Lonchura striata: one gene and its partners. The protein of the gene in region 1 interacts with the protein of each later gene in a pairwise test. Links are inferred from orthologs where the notes say so. Each region holds a gene or a part of one and is shown on either strand. Other genes may lie near its edges.

Region 1 (8,378 bases):
TGATTACTACTCTTTCCTGAAATCCTGTTCTTGATTTATGACATTCAATAAAGTTTTCAAGTTTACACTGAACAAAAAGAGCTATAAAACTGGGAAAAGCATTGTGGGATGTTTACAAGCTTTATCTCCTAAAAAATTCCCAATACAGTTTATTTTTTCTTCACTGCCAGTTGCATCAATTTGAAGGACTAGAAATGTCAGGAGTTGGCCAAAATTTCAAGATTAATTTTAAGCAAAAAATAGAAATGCAAGGAACATTTTACATAAACTACTGAAACCCCCAGTGTGTGGAAATTACCTTGCTTCCATCTCCAGAACCATCCTTGCTTGCACCATCCTTTGAAGCAAAATATGCTGGTGTTTCTGAAAAGTTTCTAAGAGGAATTCGTTTTAGAGAACAAGTTTCAAAAGTCCCAAGTTTTCCTAAAACAGGGATGCGTGTACGACCACAAGTAATACCTAAAAAAAAAAAAAAAAAAAAAAAAAAAGAAAAAAATGTAAATACTAAAATACTCCTGTTTTAATGCCATTGCCACCAAATCTCAGAACTGATTTACTTTAAGTGCAGCTTAAAGATTTTGGCAACAGAATTCAGCTCTGAACATACAGATTTTAATTATCCAAAATAGATGATCTTTACCACCTTAATGTTTACCTTGTTGAAAGTTACTTTGGTTGTCCAAAAAAGACCCCAAAATAATTTCAGGTCCTCTAACATCAGACAACTGAGAGTCCTGTTGTGGCATGAAATAGGGAACATCTCAGTTATGAAACTGATCCTCAGAATGATAACCACAATCGACTTACAGCTTCTATTGTGAAATAATTCAACTCCCCGAGAGAAACTTTTGAAGAGTCTCTTTATTATGCAAAGATTAGGTGTTTCAGACTCAATGACTGCACGTCTGGATTTGGCTTTCACTTGGGAACTCCATTAAAAATTAGTTTCCAGGAATTTGAGGCACCTCTTGGCACCAAGAATTGTGCTGAGGAAAACTGAGCAGCCGTGTCCCATTTGGCACTCACCGACGGCCGGCACCGGCAAGCTCAGCGTAATCTTAACTTTGCTAAAATATTTTATTGCCAATATGAAAAAAACCCTCACTGAGAAACTAAACAGCCTTTTCCTCCTCTTGCAACACGGGCAGGATTGCATTTCATGGCAGGGCATGACGTGAGCCAACCTATGTTGTGCTTGTGATTTCAACATCAACAACAGCCTGGAATCTGTATCTCATCTCTCGCATTTCAAGTGGCAAATTTCTCACTTGGCTCGCTGGTTTTGATCAGGACTCTGTGCTCTACTGACAGCAGAGCTATAGAGCAACAATGGCAACTACAGACTTGCTGACAACACATAGTTATAAGGATAAGAGAATCCTATGGAAAAATCCAGAAACTCTTCAAAAATAAAAAAGAAAAATTAGGAATGGCAAGAGAAGCACAGCTCATTTGCTCTGAAAGAAGAAGCAACAACCAAGAGATGGGAGCTTAGCTGAAAGAGGATACTCTGAAAATTCACCTTGTTACTATAATAAGAAGGGAGAAAAATAAAGAAGAAGGAACTTAATTTACCAGGAAAACTCTTACAGGCCTCTTCAAAGTCACAATAAAGATGACAGTCAAATGAGATTTGAAGCTGGTTTATTAACTTACATGCTGCTTAAGATTCCTTAACCTGAAGATGACTTGTACTATTTTTAACATGACTAAAAATTAACCTTTTAAAAATCTCTTTACAGCATTGCTTCTGTCTGTAAACGTGAGGGAGGAATAACAATCAATGAGCTTCCCCATTTTAAATTCCTCTGCTGAGTGCCATTGCAACACATTTTAGATTACAGAGGGTAAGCTATAAAAACAACACAGAAAACTTGAAAACACTGGCTGGCTCTCAGAAGCAGTTGTATTTTTTAACTGAATGTGCAGAGAACTCTGACAACTCTGTGTGCCAAGTGCACTTGTCAGTAAAGAACAAGCTTTGGTGAGTGTTTACAATGCAATAGTTGTTCTGAGCAGCTTAGAAACTGAGAAAAGACCCCTTAAAAATGAAACAATGACCACCTCTCCTCCCTGGAACAAAACCTAGAGTCACACAAGTAACACGGGGGGATTTGACCTGTGGAGAAAGGCTGAAGCACTAACACAAAAGCTGAAACATTTCAGTCCTCATTTTAATTCAGAATGCTCTTGTGAGACAGAAAATGCACTGAGAACTGTATGGGATGAACTATGAAACCTTACACAGCACTGACTACTGAGCTGTGAAGCCTAAACCAGGGGAAAAACATCCTAATACTGCTACGTCAGCTGGTGGCTAAGCGTGTGCTTATTGTGAGGTCTGAGAGGTGTTTTTGGACAAAATATCATGGTATAATTCCACAGTGAAGCAATAAGAAAGTTATCACCACTACTTCCTTGAGTCAATAAGCCCAGAGGGAGATTTCCAAGGGAAATCAACATTCCAGCTCAATGCCTGGCAGCTGCTGCTGATGGATCCAGACTCTGATAAATGTTCCAGTATGTAACAGCTGGCAGGATGTGCTTACACACCTGGCAGGGTGGCTCAGGTGATGTTTTTTTTTCGGAGCACCAACTTCAAAAGATTTGTCCCTGGCAGCCATGGAACCAATCCAGGCGCATTAAGAAATGATGGGAAGCTCCTTAACACCTTATTAACCTTTAATTGATGCTTGACAGAATAAATACTGACTTTTGGGGCAAGCCTGGGGGATCCTGGAGGTATCTACTGCTCAGGAAAGTGACAGGGAAATTGTGACAAACTGTAACTGTCCCACATAACACTCGATTGATTTCACTGATCTGTGCACTCTGAACTCTCTCAAGTTTGCAGCAACCAGCAACAGCAAACAAAGCACCTGGCAGAAGACAAGATTTAATACAAATTTAATATGAAAGACACACTAAAGTAAGATACATTTATTTTTAAACAACTTTCATTGAAAGCTGGTGGTTAAATAATTGTATAGCTCTATCTACATTTTATTCTTATTTGCTCTTTTACATAATCCTTTTGAATCTTAGTTCTGACCAAAAAACCCCTCAAACTTAACAAAAGATAATTCTGTAATGAATTTCAAACAGTGCTTGCTTTGAAGCTGATTGTTTCAGAGGGATTGCGTAGGGCCAGACAGGCTGGATTTGAAAGTACAGGTTAGAACATTTCAGCACGGCTGGTATTCGAGATATAAATGTAAAGTCACCTACAAAGAGTTAACTCGCCTCTTAAGGGCAGTAAACGATCTCTGACTCACCAGGCTATTGCTGAGGGTAGAGTGATTGAAAATATTGTTGCAAAAGTGGCAACAAAGATGTTTTTCAGCACTATTTGGGGGTGCCCTGCTTTCCACCCAAAGCAGCACATTGTTTGTCTGCTCTCAGCACCCCCAAGAATACAAAAAAAAGGGTAAACAAGGAAAAACAGTAAAAAAATAACCTCCCACAGCCCTCAACTTCCAGCGAGCAGCTGGCACAGTCTTGTCCTTCTACCAAGTTGAAAATAATTAATTTTGCTAACTAAACGCATTTTTATGAGAAATATTTCAAGTTTAGGCTACCACACAGGTAGGCTTTTAATTAAGTAAGGCAATTAAGCCATTTTTAAGCCCATGAAACACATTTACTCCCACTGCAGAGTAACACACACTGGCCGACAGCTGCCGAGCATCACTTCTGTAGAAATAAACCCTATTTTCGCATCCCACTTCCCCACAGCGAGGGCGAATTCTCCGATACTTCACAGCGCGTAAGGCTGCCCTCACCCCCACCCGCACCGCACCAGCAACCGGCAAAAAGGAGGGAAAAAGGGGGGAAAGGCCGCCGTGCCCGGCGCTGTCACAGCGCGATAAGGGCAGCGGCGGGGCCGGGCTCCCTCAGGGCCGAGCGCGCCGGGCCCGCTGAGGGAAGGCGGCGGCCGGAGCGCGGTTACCTCTGCGGGCGGAGGGCAGCGTGGAGCCGAACAGGCGGGCGGCGGCGGCGCAGCTGTGGCAGGCGGACATGGTGCAGCGGCCGCGGGCCCGGCCGGCTCCCCCCGCCGCCGACAAGGCCTCGCTGGCGACGGTGCGGCCCCGCCCGCCCCGGTAACGCCTCCGTGACGGCACCGCGCGTCACCGAGGGACTGCAGATCCCAGCGGGCATCGCGCCGCGGCGCGCCCCGCGGGAACGCACTCGCCTCGCGGGGTGGCATGGGAAGTGTAGTCCCAACAGTGAATGGGTGCGTGGGCGCCGCGTGGCATTGCGGGAAATGTAGTCTGCGATCGGCAGCGCCCCCCCCGGCTCTCTCGGTCTGTCCTGGGCACACCGTCCAGGTATGTTTATTCCCGGTGGTTCCGCCCTTTAATTCCTCTTTCCAAATACGATACGAGAGGAATATTTCCCTTAGATCACAGAAATGTGTTTTTTTTAAAGCCTTTCGTGAAAAGATCAGGCTGAGACAGGAGCAAAAAAACTTCAGGCAAACTGAAGCGATTTTGAGAGCGAATGGAAAATGATGCCGTGTGTTGTGGGGCGGTCTTCAATCAGGGAAGAGTATTGTAAAAATACATATTATCTAATTAAGTGTATTCTTTAGGCACGCCTTTGATATATATATAGATATATATAGGTATATATAAGGCATATACACACACCTTATATATACCTATAACTGCAGACAACTGTAGGTCTGTTTCTTTCAGCTCACCTTCAACTCCTATTTATTAGATAGCAATTAAACGGGGCTACTTGACTCCAGCTGTTCATTAGAGGAATGACTCGGTATCACCTGTCGCTCTTCTCAATTAACCTGAGCTGCCCCGCAGCGAACAGATTGCCGGGGAAGCTGCGGCCCATCCCTGGAAGTGTTCAAGAACAGGTTAGACGGGGCTCGGAGCAACGTGATCTGGTAGTCCCTGATCGTGGGCGGGGGGTTGGAACAAAACGACTCTTAAAAACTCCCTTCCAAGGCGAATCATTCCCTGAGTTAACGCGGCTTCCGCCTCGGTAGCGATGGCGGCGGAGCCGCTTCCGCCCCGCCCCGGTCACGTGGGCGGCACGGCGCAGCACCCGGAAGCGGCGGCCGGCGGGAGCTCCCGGCGGGGCGGGACAGCGGCGGCGGCCGCTGGCAGCTCCCGGTGCCGCTGGCAGCTCCCGGTGCCGCTGCTGCTCCCGGTGCCGCTCCTCGTCCCCGGGCCCGGCCAGCCGGTGAGCGCCCCGCAGCCATGGGAGAGGCGGGGGTCCCCGGGCCTGCCGCCGAGCTTAGCGCCCCGCACCGAGCAGGGAGCTCTGAGGGGCCGCGTGGGCGCTGAGGCGAGCGGGGCGGCCCCTGAGGGAGGGAGGGAGGGATGGGCGAGGGTCGGGACGCGGCCCCGCAGGGAGCCCGAAGCCCCCGGGGCCCCGTTTGCTGGGGGGTCTCTCAGGGGAAGGGGCTGCCTCAGCCTGTGCTGAGGGTGTGGGGGTTTGTCCCCTTCTCCCTGCAAAGCTGGGGAGCCAAACGTGGTTGAGGAGGGGGAAGGAGCAGGGGCAGGGTTGGTGGGAGCAGCGCTGGGGCAGAGGGGAAGGTGCTGCCGCCGCATCAGTTAGCCATAAATCTTCTTATGGTCTTGTAAAATCAATAATGAATGGAGTATGTCATTAGTGTAGTGAAATTACTCACAGAGAGACTATTACCAAATGCTCTGAGCACGTCCATAGGTGATTCTTCCAGAGGAATTGTTTTTAAAAGCTTGAAGTTCTTCAGGTTGTTTGGTTTTACGAAAAATGAAACTTGTGTGTTTAGAGGCTGATCATGACCAACATCAGGCTCTTTGTGGTCTGAGTTACCTTCAGTAGCTGAATTCCTGTTTTGAGTTCATGGTTCAGCTTCTCTGTGGCTGGAAATCACATGTAGCTGTTGTTAATGTCAGTTATTTGTGTGTACAAATTTAATGCTGCATTTCTGTGCAAAGGAGAAAAAAAAAACCATTTCAGTAAGAGAACAAACAAGTTTCTTCTTGTGTGGAAAGAAAGGCAGCCCTTAGGAGTGGTGATCTCAGATGCTCCTTCAGAAGAAAGCTGGTGGCAATCAGCCCTGGTGTTAGTGGCCAGTGGCTCACTTCCATGAGTGGTAACAAGTGAACAGGGAAGTTCAAAATTTGCGTTTTGGATGGACTCTAAACTCGCTGTGGTACCAGACAAGGTACAGGGCCAGCACAAAATCCACCTGCACGCTGCCTTTTCCTTATCAGCTGTAATGGCACAGCTCTGTGCTCCCTGCCCCCAGCCATTCGCTCAAGGGTGCTGCAAGACTGAGGTGGCACAAGCAGCGAGGTGATCCCGGCAGGAAGAGGCTGCCAACCCTCTGCAGCAGGAAGAGTCTCCCTCTCCAGCGTGCGGGGCCCTGACCAGGACTTCTGCTTCTTGGTCCAGGGCAAGAGAATGTGTGTTTTAAGGCATTTCCTGCAATTTGTCTGCCATAATTTTGTCACACTGTCGTTTGCTGAAGAGCTTTTAGGAGGCCATTGATGTGTGGTTACAGAAAGGAATTAGTGTGAGCCGTGGTTTCCTCGCTCCAATGGCTGCAGGCCCCCAGCCCAGGAAAGCATCCTTGCACCTGCTCTGCTTTGCAGGTTATTGGAATAAATTCATTTTACCCTTGCTGCAATTTTACCTGCTGCCAGACTTTGATAGTGAGCAGAACAGTTGGTGCAAGCAGCAAAGTGAAACCACACAAATTTGAAATAACAGCCACAGCTGAACAACCCATCTCAAACCTTTGTACATGGGAGGTGTAGCACGTGCTCTGTGGAAGGTGTGTGTTTGTCCTGTAGTTTAGAAAGTATTTTCCCTTTTAAAATTAATATTTTCTTCACTTGGAAGATGGCAAATGTAGACTGAAAGATGAGGAAATTGTAACTCACTGATAATCCAGCTGTAACCCCATAAACTGGTTAAGCTGTTCACCAGCAGCTCTCCTGCAGGGACAAATGAATTGGAGTGACTCACAGAACACAACGAGGTCTTATTTTATGAAGAATTAAGAAACAAAACCTATTGATTTAGACTTGGCAACTGTTAAATAACAAGCGCAAAAGTTTCTTTTTGTCTTTTCACGGTGCTGTGTGTGAATTCATGAAAATAATCTCCCAAGGCAGCTGGCTTTCAGGGTGAAGCTATTGAGTCTGCAAACTTCAGAAGTGTTTGATGACATTTGTTGTATAAATGGAAGCTAATGGTTTCTTGCTGCTTAAAAAAAAAACCCAAACAATTAAATCTTGGAGCTACGTCAGTGTTTATTACTAATTAATGGAGTATTATAAGATACTCATTATGTATGCTTGGACATTCTGGCTGGGGAATGAATTAGTAGCATTCCTATGTGGACCCAACTCAGAATCAATTTGTGCTGTATTAATTGGTGTGCTTCAAGTATTTCTTCATTGGTAACTCCTGACAAGAGCCTGCTTCCATGTGGATAGAATTAAAATTTCAAGGATTTTCTGTAAATTAAGCCTCGGATCAGGTGATGTTCCTGATGTGCTCTGGGACTCGTTTGGATCAGTTATACTCAGATGGAAAAACGAGACCTGAATACTGAGTGGGTTCATGAAATAATGTCTGTGGTGTGAATTCCTGAGTGAATTGTATGAATATTTATTAGCTATAAACTTGGAGTGCCTTATCAATTTAAAAGAAACCAAGAACATGCTTTAGGTTTTTTAGCCACTTACAGCCTGAAACACAATTGACTTTCTCTGCAGCTGTCACACGGGAATGCTTCTACAGAAACATCATCATTTCATAATTAGGTTGGTGCAGTAAGGCAGTCAGGTGACTGCCTCCTGGGAGAATAATTGCATGGTTTGAGCAAAAGTGAACTTGGTGTGAGTCAGAGGTAGTGCCATCAACTGATAAGAGCAAATCAGCCTGCACTGCTTTATTTACATAGCACAGCTTTTGAGAGTGGCCCACGGTGAAACTGTGCTATTGATTTCTCATTCTCTCTCTTTTCAGGCTGACCCAAACTGAGATTTTTCTAAACATCATGGGAGAGATTAAAGTCTCTCCTGACTATAACTGGTTCAGAAGCACAGTTCCTCTTAAAAAGGTATGTACATCTTGTAGGTGAAATATCCTCTCATGTTTTAGGGGGAGAGACTCAATGTGATTAATGCAGAGCAGTTGTGGCTGTGCTGCTGAGCTGCTTTATCTCCTGAACTGTTGTCCCACATGTCATGTGAGTGCATGAAAGCACACCCTTCATCTTCACATGCTTCTTGGAGGTCACTTCTGCCTGTGCTGGGGAGCAGAGGCTCCCAGCTGTGAGCTGTGGCAGCAGTACCTGCCATCCCAGTGCCAGCCCTGCCTGAGGAGGGGGCTCCAAGGGAGTGCTGCGTGCTGGG
Region 2 (7,364 bases), on another chromosome or scaffold:
CAGGAACCTTTTGAGCTCTCACCTTTTCTCAGCCCAGGTGATCACAGGATCCCATTCATTCTTCTGTAGTTCTGCCAAGGCTGGAGGCTCCTCCACACGATAGCTGGGACATCACAGAACAAAACCACACTGGATGGTCACTCCCAGGCTAGGACACACCTCTGGAAAGGCCACTGACCCCACCAGACCCACAGCAAGTGGAACAGGGACCTGCCGTCCACCCAGGCAGCAGTGACAGGGAATAATCCCCCAACCCTGCCCTAAATTCAGTGTTTTTTTGTTATTCCAGGAAGGACAATTCTGTCTTACTACAAAACAGAGCGGTGAACCACCCAACTGAAAATTGCAGGCAGCCCCAAGCCAGACTGAAGTTAGAGGGTACAAACCCCACTGCAACTCTCTGTGGGGCCACTCCTGCTTCTCCTTGCCCAGTGGCTCAGCTCAGCATTCCCTGCTCACCCAGTCTGACCAAAGCCACAGGGGCAGGTGGGGGAAGCCTGTTCCTCTCTCCACAGGAACTGTGCAGCTGCCAGTGGAGGAGCCTGGGCATGAACAGGCTTGATGCTACAGCTCATGGGGACTTTAAGGAATGAAGGGCATTTTGGGACTGCTACAAGTAGTCTCAGCTATCTGTACTGGCACAGGAATACCAGGGACTGGCTGACAGAGCCCCACAAGCCTTTCAAAGGTGTTTTCTTTTCTCCAAGATCTTCATTTCCCACTGATCTCACCCTTGCCCAGCAGGGAGGTGTCCAAAACGGAGTTCAACAGAGGACCAAATCCAATTCTCCTTCTTTGGGTGCACAGACTGCAACCAGGTTTGCACATTCAAACCCTCAGGCAAAAACCAGCACAGAGCCATGCCATGACTGGGTGAGTGCAGATGTCTTCCCTCACTTTACCCAACCCTCTTTCCAAAATCCAGCTGGGTCCCCATCTCGTTACCAGACTGTGTCTGTCTCCAGGAACTTCACAGCTGCTCGGATCAGCTGCGTTTTGTTTCGCTGCGTGGGATTGTCCAGCGCCGTGTTGCACAGAGTGGTCTGGGGATAAAAGCAGTTGAAACTGCTGTTATTCCAGGCTTGAAAAAGCAGCAACTTCCATGGTACAATGCCAAGAAGAAGCAGAGGGATCTGTGGCAAATGATCTGAGGGGTGCAGGGTTACAAAATGGCTAATGTAATAAGTGTCTTCTCAAATCTTTCAGAATCCCTGGAAGCAGCTTATTAAGCAGCAGGGAAGAGGGGCCAAGGATTGCTCCAGAGCTCAGTTTCCTCCTGCCCCTAACTATTCCAAATAACACTGTCCAGCCCCTTCTCAAGTTCCCCTAAGTGACACAGATTCCCTCTAGACAGGCACCTGGCCAGCCCAGAGAAAGTCCTTTCTGCTCATTAGGAGCAGGACAACCTGCTGCCTCCACATTCTGCATTTGGAGGTCTCAGCACTCCACCCTGCCATGCTCACCAGGTGCATTGTGTAGAACTTGATGGTGTCTTTCTGGGAATCCCACTCTGTTGCCACTGCAATGGCCAAGGCCTCGCTGGGGACAGTGAAGAGTTTGGCCTGGGGCGTTTTCAGCTTTCGGTGGTCCAGGTTTATTTCAAAGCCTCCTGGGGAATCAGAGTAGAAATCCTGGGGAATCAAAGAGGAGCAGGCACTAAGGAACAACAGACAACCCCACAGGAGGAGCAGATTCAAAGTTATAGAGCTGAGAGGAGCAAGAGACCAGGAACACTCAGGTTTCCCACCATCACTTGGATACACTTGGTCCTGGAAGCTGGTTCCCACCATGCAGCTTTGCTGTAGATGAGGAGGGGGCACAGCAGCTGGTGACAAACCTGCCACTGACACAGCTTGGGCTGCAGGTGCTGATGTGGGGTGGGGTGATGACACCTCTCCTAGGGATCAGCTCCCCCATCCCATCCCATCGGCCATACTCACCTTCCCCCTGCGAGATGCTCACGTTCTGGTAGAACCTCTTCCTCTCTAGGGACAGAAACAGAAGGCAAAGAGAACATTCAGAGGGCAAACAGAGAATGTTCAATGCCTTCCCCTGCTCCCCATCACAGCTCAGAACAGACAGAGCTTTGCTGCTGTCGACGTGGTAACAAAAATCCAGCCCTTCTTCCACAGTTTCCAAGCTGTGAGCTGCAGTGAGCTCCCCTCAGCAGGGAGGCACCAGGAGCAACGAGAACCAGCTCCAATCCTGCCAGGCTGGGGGCTCAGCTGCCTCAGAGTGTGGCAGGGCTGGTTTCCCAAGCAGGCCTGTCCCACCTCTCCTCAGTTCTGCTTCAGGGTCAACCTTTCCAGATTCTACAATTACAGTTACACTGGATAAATTAACCCTCAAAGGACACTGCAGCCCAAACATCTCAGTCCAGCTCAGGAATATACCTGTTCCACCAACAAGATGAGCCTGAGGAAACTTCAGGTCTCATTTTAGGAGCAGCATCCTTTGCTACCAGCACTCCTACCGCCGTGAGAGCAGGATTACACCCATCCCAAAGGCTCACACCCCTCCCACAAGGCAGGAAGAATCCACGAGCCATTCCCCTGACAACAGCAAGCAGGCTGTAAATCCCAAACCCATAAACCTGTCTGGTGAAGGACACAGCAAACAGGCCAGGCCGCGGGTCTGCTATTCCAGGCTAAAACCAGCACATTCCCACTGAGGAAATAGAAGGATTTGCTCAGGCTCGGCGACCTGTGAGCTTTGGGGCCTCAGGCACAGTTCTAAAAACAGATTAAAGTGTGTGTACCCCAGAGGAGCCCCGAGGCTCATCAGTGACTCCCAAAACTTTGTCATGAGTCACCGCGACGCTGCAGCCTCACCTCCGACAAAATGAGATTAATTTTATTGTTTTTAAACCCACGTGATGGGATACGTGAGCCAGAACATACCTGAACCCCCTGGTCTGAGTCCCATTCCCTCAAAATCCCTAAAACCCAACAAAACACAAAAACAAGTGTAACAAACTGGTTCAGCGAGGGCTCGGCCGTGCTGCCAGCGAACCCTGCCCGCTCCAAGGACAGGCTAACACCAGGGAAAGGGCGCCGGGGACAACTCCAGCACCGGGGCCGTGCTAATCCCCGCCCTGCCCTGGGTGACCCCGGCATGAGGGTCCCCGGGGGAGGATCCCCCTCCCCAAACGCGGCTCCCTCACCTGTCGGCGGGGCATAGGCCCGGCGCCCACATGACCCCACCGGGCCGCTCCCAGCATCTGCAGGAGGAGTTCTGGGGAGCCGAGCGGGCTGGGAACGAGCCCACCACAGCCGGCGACAGCCGCGCCACATCGCGCCAGACGACACCACCACGACCACCCCGTCCGCACCGCGCTCAGCGCCGCTCCCTGGGCGCCGCCATCTTGCCGCCGGCCGCAACCAATCCGCGCCGCCTCCATTTAAAAAGAAACTACATTTCCCAGCAGCGCCGGGTGGCACCGCAACCAATCAACGCCCGAGCGTCGTTGCCAGCAGCCAATCAGAGCTAAGGGACGCCCCTCAGGCACGCGCGCCGAGGCGCTGCCAGGAGGCCCCGACCCGGCGGCGGCGGCGGCGTGAGGGAGCGGAGCGGAGCGGGCGGCGTCCCCCCGGCCGCAACCCCGGCCCCGGCCACGCTGGCGCCCGGGGACCCTCCCGAGATGCCGGTTCGGAGCGAGAGGCACCGCAGTGGAGGGGCGGGAGGTTCATCCTCCTCCCCTGCTACCGGAGCGGCCGCCAGCAGCTTAGTACCGCCACCCCCCATCAACACGGCGCAGCCTGGAGTGGCCACTTCGCTTCTTTACAGCGGGGCCAAGTTCCGCGGGCAGCAGCGCAGCAAAGGCAACGCTTACGAGGTGGAGGTCGTCATGCAGGTGAGGGGGAACGGCGTGGCGAGCCTGGTTTTGGCAGGGTGGGAATGGCCACCGCGGCCTGAGGCGAGACGGGGGAACCCCGGCTCGCCTCAGGTCGCGGTGGCCATTCCCACCCTGCCAGCCCCTTGTGACAGCACCCGCATCACCCTACCCCTCTATATTAGAAGGAATTTGTCGCAGAAAATATCACTCTAAACATCAGAATATCCTACTTAATGATGTGGTGGAATCACCATCCCTGGAGGTGTTGGAGGAAAGACTGGACGTGGCACTTAGTGCTGGTGAATCAGTCACGGGATGAGCTCAGCTCTTTTCCGACCTCAGTGGTTCTGTGATGATTCTAAGCTTTTTATGGTCATTTCTCCACGTTTCTGGTGGGATTTGTGCCCTGCTGCACGCTGCCACCTCGCAGGGGCTGGTTGTGGTTTTGTGTTTAAAAACGCTGCTTTTTTTGTCGAAAACGTGGCTGATTTGCATGTGTCAGCTGAAGAGAAGGGGGCTGCCTGCTCTCCCTGTGCTGAGCACGGGGAAACGTTGCTGTCCTTTGATCACAGGTGGAGAAGATCCATCTTCTCACGGGTGGAGGTTTGTACTTCCCTGAATAACTCACTCTAGATCTCAGAGAAAAGAAAAAACCCCTTGGAAAATCCCTGCTTTTAAAGGAGCAGGCAAATCCTTGCCTAATTTCTGCACAGCACAGGCAGAGAGATGCAGCCTGATAACTCAAAATGCAGGTGGCATAAAAGCTTTAAATTTAGGAGAAAGGCTTGTAAAATGCCGGGGGTGTGGGTGATTCTTCCAGGGATGCTTTTTCTTGGAGAATACTGTGAATCAGATCCCTTCCTGCTGGAAAGGGGATTTGCTTCCTGCTGCAGAGTTCTTGGGAGCAGGCCTGGGATGTGGAGGCTGCCAGAGGTGAGCTGGGCACCTGCAAATGATCTTTCCAGGTGGTTCCCATCATGGAAAAGGGCTGTGAATATTGGGCAGTGGGTACCAGCTGGAGCTGAAATTATCTTTGGAAGGGTTAGAAACTGCTTTGGGTCAAGCATGCACCTTCATGCCTATTTTTATGGTTGGACTTTGCACTCTTTTCCAGCATGTGGATATGGAAAACTCCTATCTCTGTGGATACTTGAAGATTAAAGGCCTTACAGAGGTGAGTGTTAACTGCAAAACAGCACAAAAAGGGGCTCTGTGAAGGCTTTTTTTTTTTTTTTTCCTGGTGGAGTGAGAGAAGCTGCTGCCAGAAATAGGAAGCGGAGGGTGTGAGCATGGTGTAGATTTGATCAAAGGGGATCAGCTGGGGAGTGGTGCTGGCTGTAAATGCCACAGGTGATCATCCAGCTGGGAGCTCCATGGAATCATTTACAGTTGGAAAAGCCCTCTGAAATCATTGAGTCCAACCACTGACCCAGGACCCAGCCAGGTCCACCACTTCCCTGGGCAGCCTGTTCCAATGTTTAACCACTCTTTTAAATTGTTTTTAATATCCAATCTAAACCTCCCTTAGTGCAATTTAAGGACATTTCTTCTTGTCCTGTCCCTTGTTCCCTGGGAGCAGAGCATGACCCCCACCTCGCAGCCCCCTCAGCTGCTTATGTTCCAAATCCTTCCCTGCAGCCCAGCTCTGATGTGGCTCCTGGCTTCATAAAATGAAGAGAGAGGCAGAGAAAGGCTGGAATAAGAGCGTGGAAGAGTCAGCTTGGAGAGGTGTGGGGCAGGATGAGGGATGGGAGCAGCAGCCTCAGATGGCCCAATCTCCCTGCGAGATGCTTTTTGCTGAGTGCATGGAGCTTTGTCTGCTCTTGAGTTTGTGCCTGTAGGTGACTATTGTGACCCCACCTTTGTCTCCCCTCTGCCAGGAGTACCCAACCCTCACCACGTTCTTCGAGGGCGAGATAATCAGTAAGAAACACCCGTTCCTAACGCGCAAGTGGGATGCCGACGAAGACGTGGATCGTAAACACTGGGTAAATAAATCTGGGGGCACAGGGTGGCTCTGGGCTGCTGGTCTGGGGGAGAGGGGCAGTGTGTGCCCATGCAAGAGCTGGCAGAAAGGCCTGGAGACCTTTTTGCTGTCTCCTTCCTTTTCCCCTGGGATCTTTATTTATAAAGGTCTCTTCAGCAAACTGTGATCTGTGATGAGGGAAGGGATGTTTTGTTTTCTACTTGTTTGCCTCGGGGTTGGGAGGAAGCAGGAGCAATCCCTGTCTCTTGATCCCCTAAGAGAACACAGTAATTAGTTTTGGAGATTTATTACAAAATGGAATGGAAAAGGGGAAAGGGATCCCACAAGCACAGGCAGAGTAGTTGGTACCTGTGTCCCTGCTCAGGGCAGGGTGTACCTGTTGCTGTGTTGTGAGGCCACAGCAGCCCACCTGATCACCCCCCCGCCCTTGACCTTGGCTGTTGTTTGCCAAGCTTTGATGTTTGTTGTATTTCTGTCAAAATATCCTCCTCTGGAAGTACAGGAGCTTCTTCAGCCAGGCTGGATATTGCTGTGAGTGTCAGTAGATTTCCCTCCTAAACAGCAGCTGGTACTAGAAGTTCTATTCCTGGAATAAACATCCTGAGCTGTTTTTTTGTTGTTGTTTGTTTTGTTTCAGGGAAAGTTCCAAGCTTTTTACCAGTATGCAAAAACATTTAACTCTGATGACTTTGATTATGAAGATCTAAAAAATGGGGACTATGTCTTCATGAGATGGAAGGTAAACCCTGCCTGTCTCCTTCTCTGCTGAGCTGCTTGCAAGGCACTGACAGAAACTTGAGATGTCTCAGAGCTTTTCCAGCTATGATGGTTTAATAGAAGATCTCACCCTGCCAACCCCAAAACCCACTGTACTTGCAAGTTCCAGTATGACTCTTGTCTAGCCAGCTAATTGTGTCCTTAAGGACTGCAGTCATGGCTAAAAACACAACAGGAAAATCTTGCTTGGTGATCCTGCAGAGGATGAGAGAATTGATGCCTCCAGTCCCTGTGTGGGGCCTGTGTTTGATGTTCTGGCCAGTCTGCAGCTCCATTCTTCAGCTGAGATCATCACAGAGTCACCATAGACTGCTTTGGGTTGGAAGGAACCTTAAAGCTCATCTTGTTCCATCCTCCTGCCTATGGCAGGGACACATCCCATTATCCCAGGTTGCTCCAAGTCCTTTCCTTGGACAGTTCCAGGGATCATGGGGTACCCACAGTTTTTCTGGGTACTGTGTGCCAGGGCCTCCCCACCTTCACAGGGAAAAATGTCTTTTCCAATATCCCATCTAACCCTGCCCTCTGGCAGTGGGTAGCCTTTCCCTCTCTTCCTGTCACTCCATGTCCTTGGCTGGAAAGTTTCCCTCCAGTTCTCCCATAAGCTCCCATAGGTGTTGAAAAGCTGCAGTGAGAACTCCCTGGAGCCTTCTCTTCATTCTCAGGCTCTGACTCCGAGTTTTGCAATGGGCTTCTGGCTTGCAGGGGACAGGTGTTGAAACTGATCTCTTGCACTCTCAAAACTCATTCTGTTCTCAGTTTTCT
Region 3 (7,865 bases), on another chromosome or scaffold:
AAAGGAAATGCTTGTATGCAAACTAGGAGCTCATGGGTCCCCCTACCATAAAGCATTGCTCAAGCCAGGAATTTAACCAGTCACATTTGCAGGAATGATGCCCAAAATTAATTTTTTTTATATCAGCACAGCTTTTTGAGCTGTGATATAAAATGCCATGGTTCAGAGTGAGCACTGACAAAGAAAAGCTTTTCAAGTCCTCAAAACTTCTAGAAGCATTTGCTGTTCATACGTTTTGGGGGTTTAACAGCAAAAGTATGGTAAAGTGTTCATCAAAGTAATCCAGGAATAACCCTGCTGGAATATGCAGAATTTAGGGCTAAAATCACAACATCTTTAAAATTTGATATGAAAAATACATTATAAAACAGCTTCAATTCTCTTAAGAATTTTTTGAGTCATTCCTGTAACTTTTTAGGGTTTGACAAAAGACTATTTTAGTTTCCTAATCACATAAGTACTTATCCTCTTCTTCCAAAAAGCACTGAGATCCATAGACAAAACAATCTTTTCTCAAAATCTGTACAGTTATTTCTTAAAAAATAGAAACAAAAAACAGAACAACAACAAAAATAGACATTTTAAGAAACAGATTCGTTATAATTGAGGATCACAAAAGGGAAAAATCACATTTGGGAAATTTCAGCTAATGAACTCAGACCACATCCAGCCTAAAATAGTGACAGAACATCATGCTACCTCCACATGGAATGACTTCTAACAGAAAGATTTCAGAGAGCAGGGAAAGAGCTTGAATGTATCTGCTGTGTTAATGCAGCTCAACTGAACAGGCTGTGGATCTGCTGAACAAAACTGGACATTTTCTGTGCAGTAAGCCTGAAAATACTGAGGATCCACTCAATAGTGACTAATATAAAGGTCAGGGTTCTCTGACTGCAGCTCTTGGCTTTGCAAACTCAGCCCCTGCAGTCCTCAGGGAACGCTGCCTCATGCTCACTCCATCTTGCTCTGGAATACAGTCACAGCAAACTCCTCAGGGAGCTGCACATTCCAGCTGAACCAAACACAGCTGGAGATCTTCCAGCACAGCAGCTGGAGTGATGGGAGAGCCCTCAGTGAGCTCTCAGAAGCCACGTTTTTAACTCAGGCCCACAGGGAGCTATGGCAGTAGTGGCAGCACAGTTCTGTACCCAGTATCCATCTGTAATTCCCACCTTGAGAACAGCAGCTGCACCCTGGATGTCCTGCTCAAACCCTGTATCAGGATGAAGTGTGGCACTTCTGAACTATTCTAAGCTGCTGATAAAGTCTCCTGGCTGCTTCAGCTAAGTGATAGAAATAAATGCAAATGCTACACACTGTGCCAGTCAAATTCATGTGACTGATTTCCAATTTTTTTATCACCTCCTGCTTGCTGCAGAGGTCTCAGGATGTTCAGGGGTTAAGTGGTACTGGCAAAGGAGGAACACCCTAAGACATTGTTGTCAGCAACTCTGGTGCCATTCTAAAAACATCACAAAACAAGCTGCATCAACACCAGTAGTGTGGAGCAGTACAGGAAAGGTATGGATCTATTGCAGCAGGTCCAGAGGCGCTCCAGAAAAATTAGCAGGGGCTAGAGCACCTCTCCTATAAGGGCAGGCTGAGAGTTGGGGTTATGCAGCCCAGAGAAGAGAAGCATCCAGGGAGACCTTATTGTGGCCTTTCTTTAAGGGAGAGTATAAGAATAAAAGGGAGAGATTTTTAGCAGAGGCTGTTGCAAACGGACAAGGGGTTATAGCTTTAAGTGAAAAGAGACCTGATGGTATAAACTAGGTATAAGGGGGACATTTTTAACAATGAGAGTGGTGAAACACTGGGACAGGTTGCCCAGTGAGGTGGTGGATGCCCTATTCCTGGAAACATTCAAGGTCAGGTTGCCCTAAGTAACCTGATCTAGCAGAAGGTGTCCTGCTCATGGACTTGATGACTTTTAAAGGTCTCTTCCAGCCCAAACCATTCTGTGATTCTGGCCTGCTCTTAGTGCCTGGGAGAAGACAACAGATGGATAAAGGAAAGGGCCCAAAATGCAGTCACGAGGGACAGGTACAGGAAGATTCAGGTTTGGGGGTTGTGAACAGACAACATTCAGGTTGCTCAGAGCTGCACTCAAACTGACCTTGAACACTTCCAGCAATGGGGTATTGACGTGTTGTACAGGCAGCCTTGACCACAACATATTTATAGTGTGAAAATTACAGATTCCCTTTCAGGTATTTTAACATTATTAAGAATGTTAAAATACACTGTTTCATTTCCCTCCTGAAGGCACCAGCTAGAGTGCTGTGCATGAATTCTGCCTTATCCCCTGCACTGCTTCACATTAGAGCGTGTTCAGTGAATTCCAAGCTATCCTTGATGAAAAATTGTGAAGTAGGGATGTCAACCTTTTGTTTTGTTTGCTGTGATAAAATAACCATCTTGTCTATTTAGCCTACATTAATAGTATTGGCAACCTTGAAACAGCACATCAGCACTGCTGTCACTGCCCTCTCTGGCAAAGCCTTTATGCTTACTTACATAGAGGGGATCTGTCTCTCCCTGTTTTGTTCTGTAGGAGCTGCACCAAGAGCTCAAACTGCCCCAAAGCAGTTGCCAGATCACAGAATCAGTGAGGCTGGAAAAGATCTCTGAGATCATCGAGTCCAACCTGTGACCGACCACCATGGTGTCACTTTTACCATGGCCCTGAGTGCCACATTGCCACATCCAGGACCACCCCTGTGTTACCCAGAGAGTGGCACTGAGTGCCATGTCCAGGATCACCAATGTGCCACCCAGACCGTGGCACTGAGTGCCACATCCAGGATCACCCCTGTATCACTTAGAGACACATCCAGGATCACCAATGTGCCACCCAGACCATGGCCCTGAGTGACACATCCAGGATCACCCCTGTATCACTTAGAGACACATCCAGGATCACCAATGTGCCCCCCAGACCGTGGCACTGAGTGCCACATCCAGGATCACCCCTGTATCACTTAGAGACACATCCAGGATCACCAATGTGCCACCCAGACCATGGCCCTGAGTGCCACATCCAGCCTCTCCTTAAACACCTGCAGGGACGGTGACTGCACCACCTCCCTGGGCAGCCCACCCAATGTCTAATCAGCCTTTCTGTTCAGAAACTCCTCCTGTTGTCCAGCCTAAACCTGCCCGGCGCAGTTTGGCCTCAGCGCCGCCGGGGCCGGGGGGCTCAGCGCACCCAGGGGCGCCTCGCCCCCACCCGCGGGGCCGGCAGGAACGGCCCCGCCGCGCCTGGCACGGCCCCCGCAGCCCCGGGGCAGGGCGGGAGGCGGCGGGAGGCGGCGGGAGGCGGCAGGAGGGCGGGCACTCACGCTGCGGCGGCGGCAGAAGCCGGGCAGCAGCGGCAGCGCCATGGCCGCCCCCCAACCGGCGCCGCCGCTGCGCCGGCACCGCGCCACGTGACGTCATGACGCCGTGACGTCACGGGGCGGGGCCAGGCGCGGGGCTCGTCCTGAACCCTCATCCCGAACCCTCGTCCTGAGCTGATCATCCCGAACTGATCATCATCCTGAACTCTCATCCCGAACCCTCGTCCTGAGCTGATCATCCCGAACTGATCATCATCCCGAACTGATCATCATCCCGAACCCTCATCCCGAACTGATCCTCATCCCGAACTGATCATCATCCCGAACCCTCATCCTGAACCCTCGTCCTGAGCTGATCATCCCGAACTGATCATCATCCCGAACTGATCATCATCCTGAACCCTCATCCCAAACCCTCATCCCGAACAGATCATCCCGAACTGATCATCATCCCGAACCCTCATCCCAAACTGATCATCCTGAACTGATCATCGTCCCAAACCCTCATCCCGAACTGATCATCCCGAACTGATCATCATCCTGAACCCTCATCCTGAACTGATCATCCCAAACTGATCATCCCAAACTGATCATCATCCCGAACCCTCATCCTGAACCCTCATCCTGAACTGATCATCGTCCTGAACCCTCATCCTGAACTGATCATCGTCCCAAACCCTCATCCCGAACTGATCATCCCGAACTGATCATCATCCTGAACCCTCATCCTGAACTGATCGTCCCGAACTGATCATCCCAAACTGATCATCATCCCGAACCCTCATCTCGAACTGATCATCCTGAACTGATCATCGTCCTGAACCCTCATCCCAAACTGATCATCCCGAACTGATCATCATTCTGAACCCTCATCCTGAACTGATCATCCGGAACTGATCATCATCCCAAACCCTCATCCCAAACTGATCATCCCGAACTGATCATCCCAAACTGATCATCCCAAACTGATCATCGTCTTGAACCCTCATCCTGAACTGATCATCCCAAACTGATCATCCCGAACTGATCTTCATCCTAAACCCTCATCCTGAACACTCATCCCGAACTGATCATCATCCTGAACCCTCATCCCAAACCCTCATCCCAAACCCTCATCCCAAACCCTCATCCCGAATGGCTCCATCCCAAACCCTCATCCTGAATCCTCATCCCAAACTCTCATCCCGAGCCCTCATCCCAAGCCCTCATCCCGGGATATGTCTCGGTGGGATGCAGGCAGGTCCCGGCTCTCCTCCACAGGACCCCCGGCCCCACCAAGTTCAGGGTGCCTCAGGGTGGGCCCAGAGTCAGCAGCAGCAAAGTGGAATTAAATCCATTCTTATTTTTATGTATATAATTAATTAATATGTAATAGAAATAGAAATAGATCTAAATAGATGTATATATAATTTATATAATTTTATTATAATATAAAACACATCCTATATAAATGTATCATAATAGATAAAATATATATAACATATATTTATATAATATTTCTTGTGCATCATTATTTACCGAATGCTAAATGCATATTAAATCCAACACTAGCATGCACTAAATAAATTTCTTCAATTTTTCAGGATTCATGGCCATTTTCATCATGAGAAATTTAGAGAAAAGGATGACCTTATGGCTCCCTACAGCTCCCTGACAGGAGGCTGTGGCTAGATGGGGGTCAGGCTCCTCTCCCAGGAAACAAGTGACAGGAGGAGAGAACATGGTCTAAACAGTGCCAGGAAGGGTGAGGCTGGACATCAGAAGGAATTTTTTCATGGAAAGGGTGATAAGACATCGGGATGGGCTGCCCAAGGAGGTGGCAGAGGTACTGTCCCTGGAAGCGTGTAAGGAAAGGCTGGACGTGGCACTCAGTGCCATGTTCTGGGTGACATGGTGTGATCCTGGATGTGTCACTCAGAGCCACTGTCTGGGTGACACAGGGGTGATCCTGGATGTGGCACTCAGAGCCACTGTCTAGGTGACACAGGGTTGTCTGATCAGAAGTCAGACTCAACCTCAGAGATCTTTTCCAGCCTCACTGGTTCTGTGGCAATTTACCTCACCTGGTGAGGAGCAGTGACTTCTCTGGACATGGTGCCCCCCAAATACCTCTGGAACTTGGGTCACAGATGGGACAAATCCCACCACATCTGCCATTTTCTGCACCAATTAATTTTTAATGTTTTTCATTTTGTGACTTTTACACAGCACATTTTACTCTGGGGCCCTGTCAGGCTAGGAGGAGGGGGAGGTGGGAGCTTTTTACAGCTTTTTATTTGGTTTTTTTTGCATTTTAGTCCACTGGGATAGGGAAACTGGGTCAGTGGGTTTCCACCTTCTGGTTTCCCAGCGCTGTACCACACATCTGCATTTGCATTTAGTGTGGAAAGGTAAACATTTAAAATATATTTTAATTGAAAATTAGAGAAACCATCATTTTAATCACATTCATTTCATACAGTGGGCGGTATTACGCAAAAATTTAAATTTCAAACAGAAAATACAGTGAGAGTTTCTCACGGATGGCTGGTGGGGGAAGGGTTGTTTTTCTTTAATGGAAGTAACATTTTCCTTGTTAATAAGGGAAGATGCATTCCAGAACACTTCCAAAGCCAGTTCCAGAGAACAGCAACCATGCTATGTTATGTTCCTCCATTTTACATAAAGATGTTCATTAATATGTTTTGGTTTTTTTTAATTAGACTGCTTTTTACAGAAAAATTACTTTATGGATAAAATAGCTTAAACTGAAATATTCCAGTTGTGATCTGCCATCACCCTGTCTCAGAGGAGCTGTACTTCATCTGTTGAATGTCCTTATTCTCCTGGATGGAGTGGATCTCCCCTGCCATATTTCATACTCTATGATGCATCAGACCATGAAATTCCCATAATGTGTCATCCCTCCTCCCCCAAACAGAGGCTCCTGGAACAGCATGGGAGATGTGCTCAGTCTGAGCAAGCCTGGGAGACTCCCCATCCAGTCCCCAGGGAGCATTTGTGCAGAATTCACTCTCTGAATTGGAATTTCGCCCAAAATATTCTGATTTCCAAAACTGTCATTTATGGGGAAATTATTTTGGGGTTGTTTTGTTGTTTTGGTTAGGAAGAAGGGAAGGGAAGGGAAGGGAAGGGAAGGGAAGGGAAGGGAAGGGAAGGGAAGGGAAGGGAAGGGAAGGGAAGGGAAGGGAAGGGAAGGGAAGGGAAGGGAAGGGAAGGGAAGGGAAGGGAAGGGAAGGGAAGGGAAGGGAAGGGAAGGGAAGGGAAGGGAAGGGAAGGGAAGGGAAGGGAAGGGAAGGGAAGGGAAGGGAAGGGAAGAATTGGTATCTCCAATTTTCTTGCTCATTGTGTAACAGGGTGGTTGAAATGTCTTAATATTCCCTCTAATATCAACAATAAACTGTTACTCCAAGGTTTCAGGCAGTACAGGCAGAGTACTGTGTGAAAAACATGCATGTTAAAAACATGCAAAGGAAACTGCAGCCCTGCTGGGGGAAAGTCAGTGAAATGCAGAGTATTAGTAGAGTCTGCTGCATTTCCAGCAGAAAATCCTGTGAATTGTCCCTAAACCCTCAAGTCAAATCTTTCTGCACCTCTGCCTCCCCCAGTAAAGAAGCCACAGGGGATGTGGAGAAGGGGAGCATCTTCCTTGTGCACCAAACCAGCACTGCAATTTGATGTTTTCTACCAGTCTTCAATCATTTTGTTTTCTTTCAAATGAGAAAAAAAAACAAACCCAAACTATAATCTACTTTGGAATACAGCTGCTTCTTTCTACATTACCTTCTCTCACATGTTTATCTTTTTTGTTCCTTGCTGTATTCACTCAGTAGTACAGACTGAGTGAAAACAAATTAATTTTAATGCCTTTTCTAGGAAAAATTAAAGTACTCCAGGAAAACCAATTTTGATAAAAGCTTTTTATTAAATGAAGATTGTTAATGACAACAGTAAGCAGTTGGCAGTAGTAAATTAACCATGTGTTCTGACTACTCTGCAGATGATAGTGGTGGATGTACATAGGGCTGCATTAGTTGTACAGTTCAAAGAAGAGAGAAAGCAGGAGGGGAGCTAAAGCTGGGGAAAACATGGAAAATGCTGTCTTTGTGATAAAAATACAGCTATTATATTCTCTTTGTGTTGGGATTGAGTTTTACTGGCAAACTTGAAATGAGTAAGAGAGTACAAATTGTAAATTGAGCTACCCAAAACTTTCCAAAGAGCCATAATTAAAAATAAAATATATTGGCTTTCACTCTGACCAAATGCTGCAGGCTCCAGGCTTAGTCCATTTGTCTGCGTGGAAAGCCAGGTCTGACCAAGTTCTGTCAGTTTAGAATAGGAAAATTTAGAAATAAGAGGAAACCAGGAAGGTTTAACTAAAATCAGCATAATTTAGTGTCTGTGAAAACATGTCTCTGCTTCTGTCATATGTGTGACTTATCCTTTTCCTGGGACTGGTTTCACAGGCCATGTTAAGTCTGGGCTGCCCAAAATCAGATTGTTCCCAGGCTTCCCAGTTTA

The links. The genes of interacting proteins can lie anywhere in the genome.
Region 2: the proteins of SPG21 (region 1) and ATPAF2 interact in binary tests that used the Homo sapiens proteins (3 or more experiments, as listed by UniProt). The two-hybrid records come from large-scale screens. The link is inferred for Lonchura striata from reciprocal best matches to the Homo sapiens genes SPG21 and ATPAF2.
Region 3: the proteins of SPG21 (region 1) and EFHC2 interact in binary tests that used the Homo sapiens proteins (3 or more experiments, as listed by UniProt). The two-hybrid records come from large-scale screens. The link is inferred for Lonchura striata from reciprocal best matches to the Homo sapiens genes SPG21 and EFHC2.

The regions. Positions count from the first base shown.
Region 1 is NC_134613.1:21,912,076-21,920,453, reverse strand, and holds the start of SPG21 (maspardin), read left to right. Parts: upstream 1-5,110; 5' UTR 5,111-5,202; intron 5,203-7,989; 5' UTR 7,990-8,020; coding exon 8,021-8,083; intron 8,084-8,378. Other genes in the region: CLPX (ATP-dependent clpX-like chaperone, mitochondrial), read right to left, coding at 299-459, 3,950-4,019. UniProt on the Homo sapiens protein: May play a role as a negative regulatory factor in CD4-dependent T-cell activation.
Region 2 is NC_134618.1:15,651,219-15,658,582, forward strand, and holds the start of ATPAF2 (ATP synthase mitochondrial F1 complex assembly factor 2), read right to left. Parts: upstream 3,387-7,364; 5' UTR 3,294-3,386; coding exon 3,164-3,293; intron 1,986-3,163; coding exon 1,941-1,985; intron 1,610-1,940; coding exon 1,464-1,609; intron 1,044-1,463; coding exon 946-1,043; intron 104-945; coding exon 23-103; intron 1-22. Other genes in the region: GID4 (glucose-induced degradation protein 4 homolog), read left to right, coding at 3,641-3,853, 4,950-5,009, 5,716-5,823, 6,460-6,561. UniProt on the Homo sapiens protein: Plays a role in the assembly of the F1 component of the mitochondrial ATP synthase (ATPase).
Region 3 is NC_134604.1:110,733,710-110,741,574, forward strand, and holds the start of EFHC2 (EF-hand domain-containing family member C2), read right to left. Parts: upstream 3,387-7,865; coding exon 3,345-3,386; intron 1-3,344. UniProt on the Homo sapiens protein: Microtubule inner protein (MIP) part of the dynein-decorated doublet microtubules (DMTs) in cilia axoneme, which is required for motile cilia beating.